Nothobranchius furzeri: one gene and its partner. The protein of the gene in region 1 purifies or fractionates together with the protein of each later gene. This does not show direct contact. Links are inferred from orthologs where the notes say so. Each region holds a gene or a part of one and is shown in the gene's direction. Other genes may lie near its edges.

Region 1 (8,091 bases):
CCCCCCCCCCCCCCCACCCTCACCATCCCGCAGGACAACATCAACGGCCCCCCACCCTCGCTATGTGATGGAACCGATCAAAGGAGCCCAGAGAGATTCATCTGAAGTGGAAGCAGAGGCTAAATCAAGTGCAATATGATCCAACAAAAGATTTCTATACTGGTTAATGCAGAGACTTTCTCTATTTTTCCAATTCAAGAGGATAGTTTTCTTAGCGATGCTTATGGCAGTCAGAACCACGTGAACCAAAGATGTTGCAGTCGGGACATCGTGCAGCTGTCCCAGTAAACAAAGAGAGGGGGAAGTTGGGATATGACATTTCAGACATTTTGACAGATCCTCACATACTCTACCCCAAAATTCCTGGACAGGTGGGCAGGACCACAGTGCATGAATGTAATTGTCAGAAATGTTGTTTGTGCAGTGTGTACAGGTGTCAGACGACACAAACCCCATCTTGAACATCCGATGACCTGTATAGTGTACTCTGTGTAGAATTTTGTACTGAATTAATTGTAAATTGGGGTGTCTGATCATTTTAAAAGTTTTTAAACAAGTTTGGGACCAGAAGTCCTGGTCAAAGCTAACTGATAGATCCACCTCCCATTTTTCAATAGGGATTGCAATTTTATCGTCTATTTTGGACAGTGTCTTATATACTTTAGACAGTAGTTTGGGGGGTTTGAGATTATAAAAGTCTAATACCCTTGGTGGTGTTTGTAATTCTATTTTATTGAGCTTAAATTTTTGTTTGACTACAGATTTAATTTGGTGATATTCTAAAAAGCTATTCTTATCCATTCCAAATTGGGAGACTATTTGATTAAATGGGATGAAGTCCAATCCTTCATATATGTGTTCCAGGTATAGGATTCCTTTATTTTTCCAGTCCGGAAGGTTCATCATTTTGTTGTTTTGCAAAATGTCAGGATTGTTCCAGATAGGTGTGCGTCTGCATGGTACTAGTGAAGACTCTGTCATTTTAAGATACTCCCACCATGCTGTCAGAGAGGTGCTTATACTAAGACTTTTGAAGCTTTCATGTTTTCTTATGCTTGAGCTAATAATGTCTGAAAGCTCTATCGTATTGCAAAGTGTCTGTTCTATATCTAACCAGGACTCGTCTAATGGGTTATCTTGCAACCATCTTGGTATATATTGCAGCCTGTTGGCTAAGAAATAATAATAAAAGTTGGGTAAATCCAGTCCTCCTCTGTCTTTGGTCTTCTGAAGCGTTTTTAAGCTAATTCGTGGAGGTTTATCCTGCCAAAGGAATTTAGTAATTGAGGAGTCCAGAGATTTAAACCAGTCAGCTGGAGGTTTGTTTGGGATCATCGAGAATAAGTAATTTATTCTGGGTAAGACCATCATTTTAATTGTAGCAACTCTCCCCATGAGTGATATCGGTAAGGATTTCCATCTTGCAAGATCATCTTCCACTTTCCTTAAAAGTGGGATGTAATTCAGTTTGGTTAGATCTGCTAACTTGGGAGAGATATTAATTCCCAGGTATGTGATATTCCCTGACTCCAATTGTGTATTAAGCAAATTGACAAATGAGAAATTAATTGGTAGAACTGTGGATTTTAACCAGTTTATAGAGTAATCTGAAACTCTGGAAAAAGAGTTTATCAGTTCTATTGCTTGGGAGAGAGAGGATTGAGAATTCTGGAGAAAGAGTAAAACATCATCTGCATAAAGACTGATCTTATGTTCTATTTTCTTACACTTTATCCCTTTAATATCTGTTGTTTGCCTAATTGCTGCTGCTAGTGGTTCAATAAAGATAGCAAATAGTGAGGGGGAGAGTGGGAATCCCTGCCTGGTCCCCCTCTGAAGACAGAAGCTAGCTGATATCTGGTCGTTCGTCCTGACACGTGCTGTTGGTGAACTGTATAATGTTTGTAGCCAGTTTATGAAGAAGTTCCCAAAACCAAATTTATGTAAAGTTGCAAATAAGAACTTCCAGTTAACTCTATCAAAAGCTTTTTCTGCATCTAGAGATAATATACTAGTTTCTATGTTTCTACTGTAAGAGAAATCTATCAAATTAAGTAATCTACGTGAGTTTGTGGATGACTGTCTACCTTTAATGAAACCAGTTTGGTCAGGGTGTATTATGAAGGGAGTTACCTTCTCTAATCTTTTGGCCAGGGCTTTACAAATTATTTTGAGATCAACATTAATAAGAGAAATTGGGCGATAGCTGGTAGGAAATGCCGGGTCTTTGCCTGGTTTTAACAAGAAACTAATATTGGCTGAATTCATGTTTGGCTGTAATCTGCTGCTCTCTTCGATTTCCCTCACCATTCTGAAAAATATTGGAGCCAGAATGATCCAGAATTCTTTGTAGAATTCTACTGGGAACCCGTCTGGACCTGGAGCTTTCCTATTCGTCATGGATTTAAGGGCTTCCTGGAGCTCCGCTGATGTTAGTGGCGAGTCCAGGACTGTAACTTGGCTGTCTGATAATTTAGGAAGTGTTATCCTGTCAAGGAACTCATTGATCTCATTATCTGATGGGTTTATCTGTGGTGAGTACAAAGTTTGGTAAAAGTCTCTGAAGGTGTTGTTTATTCTTTCAGGGTCATATACTATATTCCCGGTTGAGTCTTTAACAGCAGATATGGTAGTTTTCTCTTTATTTATTTTTAATTGGCTAGCTAAGAATTTACCTGATTTATTACTATGTTCAAAGTTTTCTATTCATAGTCTTTGTGCTAAAAATTGTGTCTTTTTGTCAATAATTCCATGAAGTTCTAATTTAGCTTTACGTAATTTGATCATTAACTCTTCTTCTGTGGATGCCTCTAAAGACTTGATGATTTCTTCTAACTCCTGAATACGTTTGTTTTCCGTTTTTTTCTTATGTGATGAGAAAGAGATTATTTTACCTCTCATCACTGCCTTTCCTGCCTCCCAAAGAATAGATGCTGATGTTCCAGGCAGGTCATTATGTTCTAAATATAAACCCCACTCCTTTTTAAAAAATTCTATAAAACCTTCGTCTTTAAGCAGTGATGTATTAAACCTCCAGTTTTTGCTTGGTGGGATTGTCTTTTTATTTACCAGAGTTAAAGAAACTGGAGCATGGTCGCTGACAACTATGGGGTGTATCTCAGTGTCTGAAATGTCAGCCAACAATGAGCTGCTGACTAGAAAATAATCCAAACGTGAATGAGAGTGATGTTTCAGTTTGTGTTTCTGGTTGTGTTTGTGTTTCAGTTTTTAACATGTAGGTTTTATTTGTGTCTGATCCTCTCAGGTTCTGCTCCAGAAGAATTCTGATGGAGCTGGGATTATCCGATTTGACTTTAATTTCACTTTCAAGCTTAAAGCTTAAATGCCTGATAAATAGACTTTTATTTTGAAGGCTGAAAGCTGAATCGTAGTTACAAAATAAAAGGATATCAGGTGTTACACCCATCAGAATCGGATCCTGTGGATGTACAGGAAGTGAATAAATAACATCAGATAATCCCAATCCAAACAGATGAAATGATGGATTTTAATCCAGAGCTAACAGCTGACGCCGGATTCACTTTTATTCACTTCTTCATTTGTTTCCTGCAGAAAAAGCCAGAGAGTTTCTGCACAAAACAGGAAGATTCATTGTGATCGGAGGCATCATCTCACCAGTTCACGACTCCTATGGAAAACCTGTGAGTGCTCTGTGATGTCAGTGATGATGTAATCCACCTGATGGTGGCTCTGTTCTGATGCTCCCTGAAACATGGGCTTTGATTAACTGATGGTTTACAGATGAGATCAGAGGCGAAGAGGAGGAGCTAGCTTTGTGCCTGACCCAGACGTTCCTCTGGGCCGTGCGTTTGGCCTCTCTGTGTTCCAGACTCGGGTTTAGGTTCTGATCCTGCGTCTGCTTCAATAAATCTGAGGTTCTACTTTGTTCTGCAGAACAGAACAAAGAATCACAAATTTACATGTCTGGTCAAACATTTCAGGGAGACTTGAGCTGAAGAAGTTCCATCTGGTCGCCTAAACAGGGTCAGCTCTACAGATTTAGATCTAGAGGAGCAGCAGCTCTTCTGCTAACCAGGAGACCACATGATCCAGATCCTCAGAAACTCTAACCAGGTCTATGGTGTACAGGTCGGCTCCCTCCTCTTCCTCCCAGTTCTTCTCCTCTTCTAAACAAATCCAAAAGTCCGCTGCAGCTGCTCCATCAGAACCTGGAGGACCTGGGTCTGCAGAAGCTGCAGGAGATGTGAAGCCGGTTGGGACTCAGGTCCATGCTGGTTCTGAAGGAGTTAACAAAGCTCTTGTCCTACTTTCCTTCTGCTGCAGAAACTCAACATGAAAAATAAATGCTGCAGAAATCCAGTCAAACTCTTTCAAAATAAAAGCATGTGGTGCTGATCCAGTTTGGGTTGTACTGGTTCTGAAGAACTACCCTTTTAAATCCAGGTGAACTGATTTAGCATCTTTGTGATCCTGTTGAGTTCTGCTCCAGAACCGGTCCAACCAGAACCCGTATTTCTCAGAAACAAATGGAGCCTGTCTGTGTGTGCAGGGCCTGGTGTCCAGCCGACATCGTCTCACCATGTGTCAGCTGGCCGTCCAGTCATCTGATTGGATCAGGTGAGTTGTCTGTCAGTCATTCAGAGTTTCTGTTCCTGTAGAAACAAAAAACAAACATTAAAACTGTTATTTCTGTCCCAGTTTGGGTTGTGTCTACGGTGGCCATGTTGGGACATTCTCATGTCAGACTGAAGATGTCCTCAAATGTACATCGTCCATCTGGCTGATATTAAATTTAGTTTGATTGTCTTTAGTAAATAATTTTGTTTTGAATTTTTGTTTCAGAGTCTGAATCAGATCCCACATCAGATCCTGAGATCTAGACTAAAACCAGAATATTTTTTCAGGCTCTTATTGTGAAACTTCTGCAGGAAGTGACCGAGTTTAACAAAGTCGGAATGAGTGTGGCCTGTCCTGACTGGGTCAGGTCTCTGTGATGGTTCTGGTTGTGTCTCCTACAGAGTGGACCCCTGGGAGTGTTACCAGGACACCTGGCAGACCACCTGCAGCGTGTTGGAGCATCACCGCGACCTCATGAAGGTCAGTCAGGTGACCCGGGTCCGCTCAGGTTGGAGGTTCCGCCTGAGCCAAAGTGCTGAGGCATCAGGTTTAGGGACAAAAATGAACCGAAGAGCAGAAATGGAATATTTTACTTACAGATTTGATTCTGGGACGATTCTTCTGAATGACCTGCGGAAACATGTAAACAGAACCAGTCAGAACTTTGTTCATGGAGAAACCCGCTTGATCCAGTCCAAACGTGTTTCTGTCCCTCAGAGAGTCACCGGCTGCATCCTGTCCAACGTCAACACGCCGTCCACCACTCCTGTGATTGGTCAGCCTCAGAACCAGACTCCGCCCATCTACCAGAACCATAGCACCATCAACAACAAACACACAAACATCACGGCCAGTGAGTCCAACCCGGAGTGACACCATCATGTGTTCATCAGATACATCATGTGCTCATCAGACACATCATGTGTTCATTAGACACATCATGTGTTCATTACATACATTTCTCGTGGGTTAATAAGATGTTTGTTGTGTTTCTCAGTCAAACTTTGGGGGAAAATCGGTGAGAGTTTGGGTAAAATCTGCTGCGTTCGTCCTCAGATGGAACGTTTCACGTTTGTTGGTAAGAAAACGAGTAGAAAATGTTCATAATTATTGCTAAAATGAACCAAATAAGTTTTTGTTTGTTGGTAATGAGACCTTTGAGACTGTATTTACAAACAAAGCTGATGGTTTATTTCAGATGAAAACGCCAACCTGGGCACCGCCATGAGATACGAGGAGATCGGTGAGTCTTCTGACCCGAACGAGTCAGGACTTCCTGCTGCGTGTCATTTCCTTCTGGCTTGTTTGGCTCCAGTAAACTTCTGGTTTACAGCGTAAACATGATGGTTACCGCCATGTTTACTAAGGTAAACGTGATGTTTACTGAGGATGTTTTGTCTCTCTCCTCCTGCCGTGTGTCACCTGTAGAGTTACGCATCCTTCTCCTGTGTGGCAGTGACCTCCTGGAGTCCTTCTGCATCCCTGGCCTCTGGAAGGACAGTGATGTAAGCACAATAAGCCTCACCCACTCTCATGTAGTCCAACCCAACTACATGGAGCCCCGCCCCTTAGATGATCTCTTTATCACATGACTGATGCTTGATGTGGATGTTTTTGCCAAGGACACCTGCCCCAGTTTGAAGAACAAGCTGGAGGTAACGTTCTGGAGTGTTTGTGGTTTCAGATGGAGGTTATTGTTGGAGACTTTGGGATCGTGGTGGTTCCTCGAGACGGAGTCGACACTGAGAGGATCATGAATCACTCGTCAATCCTGCGCAAATACAAGGTGAGATAGGTGTGTGGGGTTTCTATGGAAGCCTGGCGAGCGTCTGACACCTCCAAGTCGTGGGGTGTAATCTACGGTCGTCTCCGCATAGTGTATATAAAGACAGAAAAATGTCCATTGGACAGCACTAGAACCATCAAACGTAGAACGCTGTGATTGGCCAGACACAAAACTGATCAAGCCAGTGGTAGACCAGCTGAGGCTAATGCGACAGGCGTGGCTGAACCGACCTGCAGAGTAAAGTATTTTGATACTGTTACGTTTGTTGCCACGGTAACAACCTGAGTCCAGATTCTTCTGATCACAGACTAGATCAGGAATTTTGCTGAATTAATGTTTAAATGGTAAATGGCCTGTATTTGTATAGAGCATTCTTAGGGTTCTACAACCCCCCAAGGTGCTTTACAGCTAAATCAGTCATCCACACTCTGGTGATGAGCTACATTGTAGCCACAGCTGCCCCGGGCACTGACAGAGACGAGGCTGTCGTACACAGGCGCCACCGGACCCTCCGACCACCTGTAGACAAGGTGGGTTAAGTGTCTTGCCCAAGGGCACAGCGGCAGCATTCTCTGGCGGGAGCCGAGATCAAGCCTGCAACCTTCTGATTACTGGACAGCGCCCTCTACCTTCATCACCACCCTCTCCTTGTTCCGCTCTTATTCCAACTTTCACACGATTCACTGATTTCCCTCTTTCCTACTCACGTTCCCGCTCCCCTTCCTTATTTTGCTTTTCTCCTTTTAAACTTATTTTTAATCATCTTTTAAAATATTTTTTAAACTTTATTTTTGTTCTTGTGAAGCGCCTCGTGGCTTTTATCGTGAGAGGCGGTTTAAACCTCCTGACCTGCGGCTGCCCAACCTTCCACTAAGACCTTTAAGATGTCAGCCTCTGGAGAAGTTAGGACGTTTGAAATCGTTTTTCCCATGGTGCCTTGTGTTTACGCTGCCGTGTGCTTTAGGACAATATCGTCACGGTGAAGGATGCAACAAACCACCCGATGTCCATTGTCAGCTCCACAAAGAGCAGGTGGGATCACTAATCACAGAATTTAGAGGCCATAAACCATTGATGTGATCTGACCTTTAACCCCACCCCCCAGACTGGCTCTGCAGCACGGTGACGGCCACGTCGTGGACTACCTGAGTCAGCCCGTCATTGACTACATCCTTCAGAGCCAGCTGTACATCAACGCCTCTGGATAAACCTGCTACATGAAAACACCCAGAACAAAGATGGTAGGGGGAGGGGCTTCAACAACCATCTACTCTATACCCCCCCCCCCCCCCCCCCCAAAAAAAAGAACTGAAACTTCCTCGTCCGTCTTCAGACTTATACTCTTCTTTGATCTGTGCCTCCTGTCTGTGTCATGTGACCCTACCTTTGTTGGGGTGGGTGGGAGGGGCTTCATGTGTAAACAGGTGCATGGTCAGCAGCAGAGCATGCTCAGGGCTAGGCTGGGCAGAACCTGATCCAGATGTTAGCACATGGATCCTTACCAAGTCTCATAGTTTAAACAGGAGTTTGGTTTCTATCAGGTGACCCGGTTCTGATCCGGTTCTGGATTCATGTTGGATGTTAATTATTATTGTGAGATTTTAACAGAACAGGTTTGTTGGTCAGAAACTTTCACTTTCACTCAAGAACCTGGCCTGAACACACACACACACACACACACACACACACACACACACACACGCACA
Region 2 (8,603 bases), on another chromosome or scaffold:
TGGGGTTGATGAGTAAACACTTTAAAATACAAAAATAATGATTTACAACTTTTACACAAAAACACAAATAGTGACCACAATAACTCTGAGACAAACTGCCATGGTGACTTATCAATATACGTAAACTAATCCAAGATTATAGCAGCCAATACATTCACTCCTGTGTATTCATCATTATAACATTAAATTGTGGTAATACATGACTTACGAATATGTTTAAATTTGTATTTAATTTGTTCAGTTTAGGACCTGAATGAGTTCAGAGAGAATTTTTGAGCAGAAAATCTAAATTTATGCAATTTCTATACATTTTAAATGTATTTTCTTTTTACAAAATTCAAGAACTCAAATCAACTTATGGATGTAGTCTAAAATATGTTTTTTGTGTTTTGTTTTTACAAAAAAGTGATATAAATTTAAGTATTTAAGTTACACATTTGTTATGTATTTATTATAATTTCTGGTGGGTTTCATTCTTACCGCTGGGAAAGGCAGGGTTAGCTCCTGCATAGACACCTGGACTGTATGATGGGGCAGCAGCTGCATAGCCAACAGGGAATCCAGCTGTTGGGATCAAATAGAGAAGAATTAATCCTTTGAACTCCATGTGTGGCTTTGTCCTCTTGTTTGACCAGATAAAACTACCTGGATAGCCTAAACCCTTCGTGTTGGTAAAGGGGACCCCTGTTGGTGCAGGGCTGTATACAGGATTCATCGTGGCCGTCTGCTCACAGCTGCTGCAATCAAGAAAACAGAGGTTCATTTAAACGTGGTGCAAAATGAACTGAAAATATTTTAGATTTAATCGAAATTCCACAAATCTGCTCCTAAACAACGTTTGCTAGAATGTTTAATATGTTTTATTGCCTTTTTCCTTCCCCAAAGATTGGGGTACAGATCTAGGGATACACTGACTATGACAGGACTTTACTGTTAGGACTTATTAATGTTGAATTGATACAAAAGACAAGTAATCCCTTATGTTGCAAAAGCTACATTGCAACAGAAATATAACTTCTATCATTAGATATGTTCAGGTGGCAACAACTCCAGATGTTTTGAGGCTGAAACAAGTGTTTGCATCCAGCTCAGAGACGTCTCTGTGCTGCCCCTGGCGGTGATGATAAAACACTGCTTTCATTACATCACATTTCAAATAGAAGGATGGAAAACCATGAAAAGGGACACATTTACATTTGATGCTAAAACAGATACATTAATGAGGTTACAAAATGCATAAAAAAGAGGCAAACGACTGTGCACAGTAGTGATGACAGTTAATATTTGTTCTCTTTCTTTCTCATGGCACATTTGAATAATTTAACCTTTAAAAAATAAAACACAATTTTATAAAACACCTAAACCGGCACACTTTCATCATGTGACGACATTTAAACTACTTCTTGCTCTGATTTTAGATAAACATAACTGAGAATAAAAGGTCATAACTAATTAAAACAATAATTTCCTATAAAGGAGAAAATGTGCAATTAACTGACGCTTATCTCTTGTCTCGTGAACCGGTTTATTGTATGTATATCAGCACCATTAGGGTAGCGTTATAACCGGTTAGTAGAGCAGTCGGATCAGAAGATAACCTTCCAGGTGACATACCGAAGCTTCACCACTAGCTAGCTATAGCTCTCGAGGATTCGGAGCCGCAGCAGAAGCTCGGCGGGTCGAGCCTGTCCGGTGTCCGAACATCGGCTCAGATATTCAGTCTAACCGGAACATCAACCAGTGTGGCCGCGCAGAGTCACCGAACCGTCGTCCCTGGACGGCCCACATATGATGGGACAGGCTTGTCAACAGGCCGCTCGGTTCAGGCAACAAGCCAGCCAGCTGTGCTCCGCAGTGACGCCTGTCCCAACATAACATACATCTCACAAGTCTCACTAGTTTAAATACACAGAAAACGTATAGTTCACCGTTTCAATCGCGTGTTTCTTCTCTTCTCTGCGACAGAGACGTTAAATAAAATTAAGCTAGCTGGTGTTTTGTTCCCAGATGCTTTGCTGAACTCTTTTGAGCACCGAGCGTCACTTCCGTGTAGAGTCACGTGATCTCTATAGCGCAACATTTTTCTTTTGCCTTCGTTGAATGCTCGATTTTTGTCTTAAAAAATTTAAAATTGAGCTATTTTTCTCTCAACATTTACAAGATTGGATGCAATTTAAAATCAAATTAAGCTGAAAATAACAAGCCTCATATATTTATTACTTTAAATGTGCTTAAATGTTATAATATTTAGCAATGTTTGTTGTTATAAACTGACAAAATGTTTTCTAAAATATTTTCGCAATGATGTCACGTAGCAGAGCTCCACATCATTTACACACTAGTGAACGTAAGGGTGCACTAAGCTGGTGGGGCTTGCACACCTTTACTGCGACGCACGCCCACATCGGCGTACAAAGTACACCTATCACAACAAAAACACTGCGACTGTTGTATATAGACTGTAAATTAACAAGACGTGTCGTTTTGTGATATTTCATTCCTCTGTGACACATGTATGTTGTCAGCTGCCAATCACATAAAATACTCACATTTATTTGTCAGATTGTCAGAATTTTAAGGCTTTTCCAACATTTAATATAAACTCCTCCGATGGTCTTCGTTTCCAGTCGGGTCATACGCCGGTGACTGGAAGGAGTAGACCCCGTGAGTTCATTATCATGGCTGCTCCGTGGTCCTGACAGGCTTATAAAACAAGTTACTTGAAAAATCCTTTTCTTTTAGTTGAAAATTCCTACATATTTTAGTGTATCATTATTATAAAATATTTGATATAATAAACACGATATACACGTGATGTTGGTCTGCTTTTAGATAAGGCTGTTACTAAAATATGTGTTCTTTAAGGACCTTGACGCATCGTTTCCATTCAGCCATTGAACTGGGAAGACTAGGGTCCACACTGTTTTGGAGTAAGTGCGACTTGTTAGCGCTTTAACGGCGAAAATGATTCGATTTGAAATATTTTAGACCTCGTCCTACGTTGTATAGGGTGAGATTATTTGGTCGGCTGGCATCGTCGGTAAGGAGCAGGGGTTTAATGTCAGCAGCAGCCGCCTTGGGAGGAGGCTCGCCCTGTTTGGGCGCAGCAGCGGCGGCCAGTTGCAGCTCAGCCGGCTCTTCCTATGCTGCCGCAGCCGGTGGAGGCGCGGGAGTGGCCGGGAGGTTACCGGCCCGAGTGCTGGAGCACATTTTCTGCTATCTGGAGCTCTCCGACCTGATGCGGTGTTCACTGGTCTGCTGGCACTGGAATAATATCTTAGCAGACGAGAACAGCGAGGTGTGGCGCAGCCTCTGCAACCGGAGTCTGAGTGATGAAGCACTACGGTCTGATGTCCTCTGCAACCTGCCCACCTACAAGGGGAAAGTAGGTTCACCAGTGATAAGGTCCTTAGGATGGAGAAGGATGTGATTAATGATAACTTCCGGTCAGAAATGTACCTACATTTTGTGTGTGTGTGTGTGTGTGTGTGTGTGTGTGTATACATGTGTATTGGCTTGGCTTGCTTTGTTTCAGAACAAGCACAAACTGTTATTGTTTACTGTTGCATCCTCCCTTCCCACTGAATTAGTTTTTGTCACACTCAAATGTTTCCGTTCAGCCACCATATTTAAGTATCAGATAAAGACAACCAGAAATAATATTACATTGATCTTAAATGATTATTTCCCTTTTTAAAGGGCAAATCTATCCAGAACAACCTGGTTCTATGTAGAAGAAGAAAATAACTTTTCTATAGCGCCTCTTAATAAAAGTCACAAGGCGCTTCACAAAAACAAAAAATGTAAACATATAGAAAATAATTTAGAAAATTATTAAAAATATATTTAAAATGAGCAAAAAAAGATAGACAGTTGTGATTACAAATGTAGAGAAAGAGAGAGAGTGAATAGGAAAGAGGGAAATCAGTGGATCCTGAGGAAGGTGCAATAGGTAGGGAGAGCAGAACAAGAAGAGGGTGATGAAGATCATACAAAAGCCAGCTTGAACAAGTGAGTGTTCAGCTGCTTTTTAAAGGAGACCACCGAGTCCACTGATCTCAGGCTCAGGGGGAGAGAGTTCCAGAGTCTGGGGGCCACAGCAGCAAATGATCTGTCACCTTTGGTCTTTAGCCTGGTGCGCTGCACAACCAGTAGGCTTTGATCACTGGACCTCAGGGACCTGCTGGGGGTGTAGGGACAGAGAAGATCACCAATGTAAGATGGTGCTTGTCCATGTAAGGCCCTATAGACCAGAACCAGGATCTTGAAATGAACCCTGAAGTTGACTGGCAACCAATGAAGCTGGAGGAGAAGCGGGGTGATGTGGGTGTGTTTGGAGGACTTGGTCAGAAGCCGAGCACAGGCATTCTGAACCACCTGTAGACGGTTCAGGGAGGTTCTGCTCAGACACGTGAAAAGAGAGTTACAGTAGTCTAAGAGTGAGGAGATGAAGGTGTGGATAACTGTCTCAAGTTCAGAGCGAGACAGAATGGGACTCAGCTTAGCAATGTTCCTGAGATGGAAGAAGGAAGAGCAAACAAGAGAACTGACATGAGAATCCAGGGTGAGAGCAGGGTCAAAGGTCACACCAAGATTCCTGAAGGAGGGTTTGGTGTGAGAAGCAAGCTGACCAAGAGAGTCTCTGACTTTGGGAACCAGCTTGTCTGGGGCACAGATGAGGATCTCAGTCTTATCTTTATTCAGCTGAAGAAAGCTCCCAGCCATCCAGGTTTTGATAGAGTCTAAGCAGGTGTGGAACAGCTCCAGCTTAGACATCTCATGAGGCTTGAAGGAGATGTACAGTTGGATGTCATCTGCGTAAAGATGGTAGGATATTCCTTTGAAGGAGGTGCTGAAGAGGAAGCAGATAGAGGAGGAAGAGCAGAGGCCCCAGCACAGAACCTTGTGGAACACCATGGGTAAGAGAGGTGGTGGGGGACCTAAACTTGGAGACGGCCACAGAAAAGGAGCGCTCAGAAAGATAAGAGGAGAAGCTGTAGAAAAGTAATTAACCTTTAAACATTTTAGCAGGTTGTAACAACCTACAAAATCTACAATCATCTATTATGATAACTGGTAATGAGCATCATTGTAGAGGAAATCTGTTCTACTCTTCTTTGCTGAATTGTTTTAAACCTAACATGAATGACATGTTTAAGGTCAAAGGTCAGATGTTTTCCTTCAGAATGTTGTGGTAGAGAGCAGAACTCTTGGATCCATCACTTACAGCAAGTGGTCTAGGTCCTAAAGCAGCAAGGCAGCCCCAGACCATAACACTTCCACCACCATGTTTGATTAGGTGTTATTGTTGGTTTTACGTTAGATGTAATGGGACACACACCTTCCAGAATACTCAGCTTTTGTCTCAACAGTCCCCAGAAGTCTTAGAGATCATTAATATGTTATTTTAGGAAATGTGAGATATTTTTTCTCCATCTCTTGTTTATTATTGAATCCTGACCTCTGACCTTAAACCTAACCAGGTGAGCCCTACTGTGCTTTTGACCTAGCTCTGGGTTTTCTTCTTTTAACCCTCCCACTGTCCTATTGGGTGACACCCCTCACCCCTGCCACATGCACCCCAAGGGATAAACCATCAACCCTGCTCAATGGTCAACTTCCCTGGCGGGGTCACCCAGTAGGACAGTGGGAGGGTAAAATATCTGTATAAAAAGGAATGATTTGGTGCTTTTTGAGATCAATTAGCCTAAATCATGTTGCCAGACACTTTCTATTGAGGTGATGTCTTTATTCTACAGGTCTAGTGAAACTGAACTCAGCTTCCCAAACAATCTAGTTAATCCCAGTTAATTCACAATTTAATAAAGGGATTTGATTACCTTCTTACGCAAGGCCAGGTTGATTTGGATATTAGTTCTCCTAATAAATGAAATCATCATTTGAAAACCACTTTTTCTGTTTACTCATTTAATCTTTGTTTGATATTGAAATCTTTCTGTTAATCTGAAACGTTTAAAGTGACAAGAAATCAAAATCAAGAACTTTAAGGGGAAATATTTGTTCGCATCATCGAAGACAATAAAACAAACAAAAATTGTAAAGTTAATAAACAATTTTAAACACTGCTGATGGTATAAGACCATGGAAAGTCCAGTTATGTGTCTCACTTGCCCTTCTATAACAGCTGTGTCTGACTGTCCTCCTGCAGCTCAAGTCTTATCAACATGCCCTGAGTTCTCACGACTGCTCCAGAAATGTTTATGTGAAGAAGAATGGCTTCACTCTGCATCGTAACCCCATCGCTCAGAGTACAGATGGTGCACGAGGCAAAATTGGCTTCACAGAGGGGCGGCATGCTTGGGAGATCTGGTGGGAGGGCCCACTCGGCACCGTGGCAGTGATAGGGATCGCCACAAAGCGGGCAGCGATGCAGTGCCAGGGCTACGTAGCCCTGCTGGGCAGCGATGACCAGAGCTGGGGCTGGAACCTGGTCGATAACAACCTGCTTCATAATGGAGAGGTCAACGGAAACTTCCCCCAGTGCAACAATGCTCCCAAATATCAGGTGTGATGTTTGACTTTTACAGTTCTAGTTCTTTTTAAAATATATCTGTAATCTGATGTGGTATAATCTTCGTCCACAGATCGGGGAAAGAATACGGGTGATTCTAGACATGGATGACAAGACTCTAGCTTTTGAGAGAGGCTTTGAGTTTCTTGGAGTAGCATTTCGTGGACTGCCTAAGGTCTGCCTGTTCCCTGCTGTCTCTGCGGTGTACGGCAACACGGAAGTCACCATGGTTTATCTGGGAAAGCCTCTGGATGGTTAGGGGCAGACTGGCCTGTGCCCTCAAACACATAAGCTCCTGAGAAGCCTCCTTTTGCAGCAGGACCGCTGACTCCTCTGCCTACTTGAACAGTTTATGGTTGAGGAGGTCAGAAGGTTCTTCAAACTTCATTATGACATGGAAAGAAGTGTTTCTCCAGCAGCTGAACATAAGCTCACAGCAGTGGAAACAAGCAGGAAAAGCTTTGGATGTCATGAACTTGTTATCGCCGTGGAAACGTCCACTTTTACAGTTTGCTGCTCGACCCATTTGTGGACACTTCAGTTTGTTTTATAAAATTAAAACCGTGCTAAATGATGACCTGAGACTTTATGTCTGCTTGAATGAGGCCAAAACTTCTAAACTGTGGCAAAATCCAACTTTGAGTGTTATCAAAAGTTGTTTGGTGTAAGAATGAGTGGAAACACTCTGGTTTAGCCAAGTTTAACTATAATATCTGAATTATACTGAATTAATGCCAAATGGTTGTACCCTGTTACATTTTGATAGTAGAACCAGGAGGACATGAGGACTTTTGCATGAACTGTGGACTGAAGTATTCCTCCTTTTAAATAACCCATCAAGTAATGGTGTCAACTAAACCTGTTAAACGTGTCCTTCCTATTGTGCTACTGTAGTAAACCTTATTTATTTGTGATTTAATCTCTGGTACTATAGATACAGTATGGTTATGAAGCCTGGAAATAAAGTCATTTTGGTGCCACTGGTAGAAGAAGGATGTTGTGTTGAATGTGTGCTTCACTCATAAAGCCTTTACACCAGTCTGTTAGTGTGTCTGAACAGCTTTGTAACATTTAATTTGTGCATCAGCTGGTCACTAACGGCACCAGCAGAAGTGGAATCTAGTCAGCCGCTTTGGTTTGGTTTTTCTTACCCTCAAATCTAACAGAGGCTGATTAGAAACTCTTCTATTTTATATAAATATCATCTATTAAATTAATCACACTAAATTATTTGCTCAGATGAGGGAAAACTTACTTGTATCTAACTTTCTGTGAGATTTAAGTTTGAAACTATTGTTCTTGCTGGTTTATTTTATGCTAACATTCAGGGCTGCTCAGTTATGGAAAAACAATACTATATTGGTACGACACAAAAACTGAATTCCTTTGTAATACTTCTTAGCATTAGATACATTTTTGGAAATCCTGATTAGTCGCATTTACTGTGTTCTGTAACTTGTAGTGTGCATTTATGTAATTAGCATTACTAAACATGGACGCCCCCACCTGTTGGTGTTCGCTTTTGTTTGAGTTTTTTGTTGGTGGATTGGTTGATGCGCTTTACCACAGTTATGAAGAAAAAAAACAAGCATTTACATTTTGCTCCCAACAGGAGCCGTAGTTTTGTCCCAAAGATTTCACTGGACATCTCTTCTGCAACAGGTGGAGAACAATCTTGAGAGAGGTTGCAAGGATCAGAGTTAAAGAAGGTGGAGGATGTCAAGTACGTAGTTTCAAGAGTCTAGACTAATGGGGAGTGTGGAAATGAGGGGAAGGAGTTCAAGCAGGTTGGAGTGTGAGATAAGTGTTTCTGCAAGAAAGAACAGAAACGTGTTTAAGACAGTGGGACCAGTGATGCTGTGGTCCAGTGACAGGAGGTTGTAGGCATGACAATGAGACCAGCGGCCAGGCAGAGAAGGTTTGGGTGTGTAGAGAAGAGAGATGCTGAGGATGGAACTGCCAGACTTGAGGAAGACCAAGGAGATTTATGGATGCAGTGAAAGTGTACATGAAGCTAAATGGTGAGAAAGAAGAGGTTAGATGGAGTCAGATGATTTGAATACAACAGAAG

What was found.
Region 2: the proteins of nmnat2 (region 1) and fbxo45 purify together in Homo sapiens (co-immunoprecipitation; 3 studies listed by BioGRID and IntAct, with this or other methods). This does not show direct contact. The link is inferred for Nothobranchius furzeri from reciprocal best matches to the Homo sapiens genes NMNAT2 and FBXO45.

The regions. Positions count from the first base shown.
Region 1 is NC_091751.1:34,805,719-34,813,809, reverse strand, and holds part of nmnat2 (nicotinamide/nicotinic acid mononucleotide adenylyltransferase 2), read left to right. Parts: intron 1-3,573; coding exon 3,574-3,662; intron 3,663-4,531; coding exon 4,532-4,599; intron 4,600-5,000; coding exon 5,001-5,079; intron 5,080-5,316; coding exon 5,317-5,452; intron 5,453-5,596; coding exon 5,597-5,677; intron 5,678-5,797; coding exon 5,798-5,842; intron 5,843-6,027; coding exon 6,028-6,104; intron 6,105-6,283; coding exon 6,284-6,385; intron 6,386-7,349; coding exon 7,350-7,417; intron 7,418-7,490; coding exon 7,491-7,593; 3' UTR 7,594-8,091.
Region 2 is NC_091747.1:41,232,753-41,241,355, forward strand, and holds fbxo45 (F-box/SPRY domain-containing protein 1), read left to right. Parts: upstream 1-2,914; 5' UTR 2,915-3,058; coding exon 3,059-3,385; intron 3,386-6,169; coding exon 6,170-6,526; intron 6,527-6,605; coding exon 6,606-6,791; 3' UTR 6,792-7,024; downstream 7,025-8,603. Other genes in the region: fam168b (myelin-associated neurite-outgrowth inhibitor), read right to left, coding at 481-564, 646-715. UniProt on the Homo sapiens protein: Component of E3 ubiquitin ligase complex consisting of FBXO45, MYCBP2 and SKP1. Functions in substrate recognition but also plays an important role in assembly of the complex.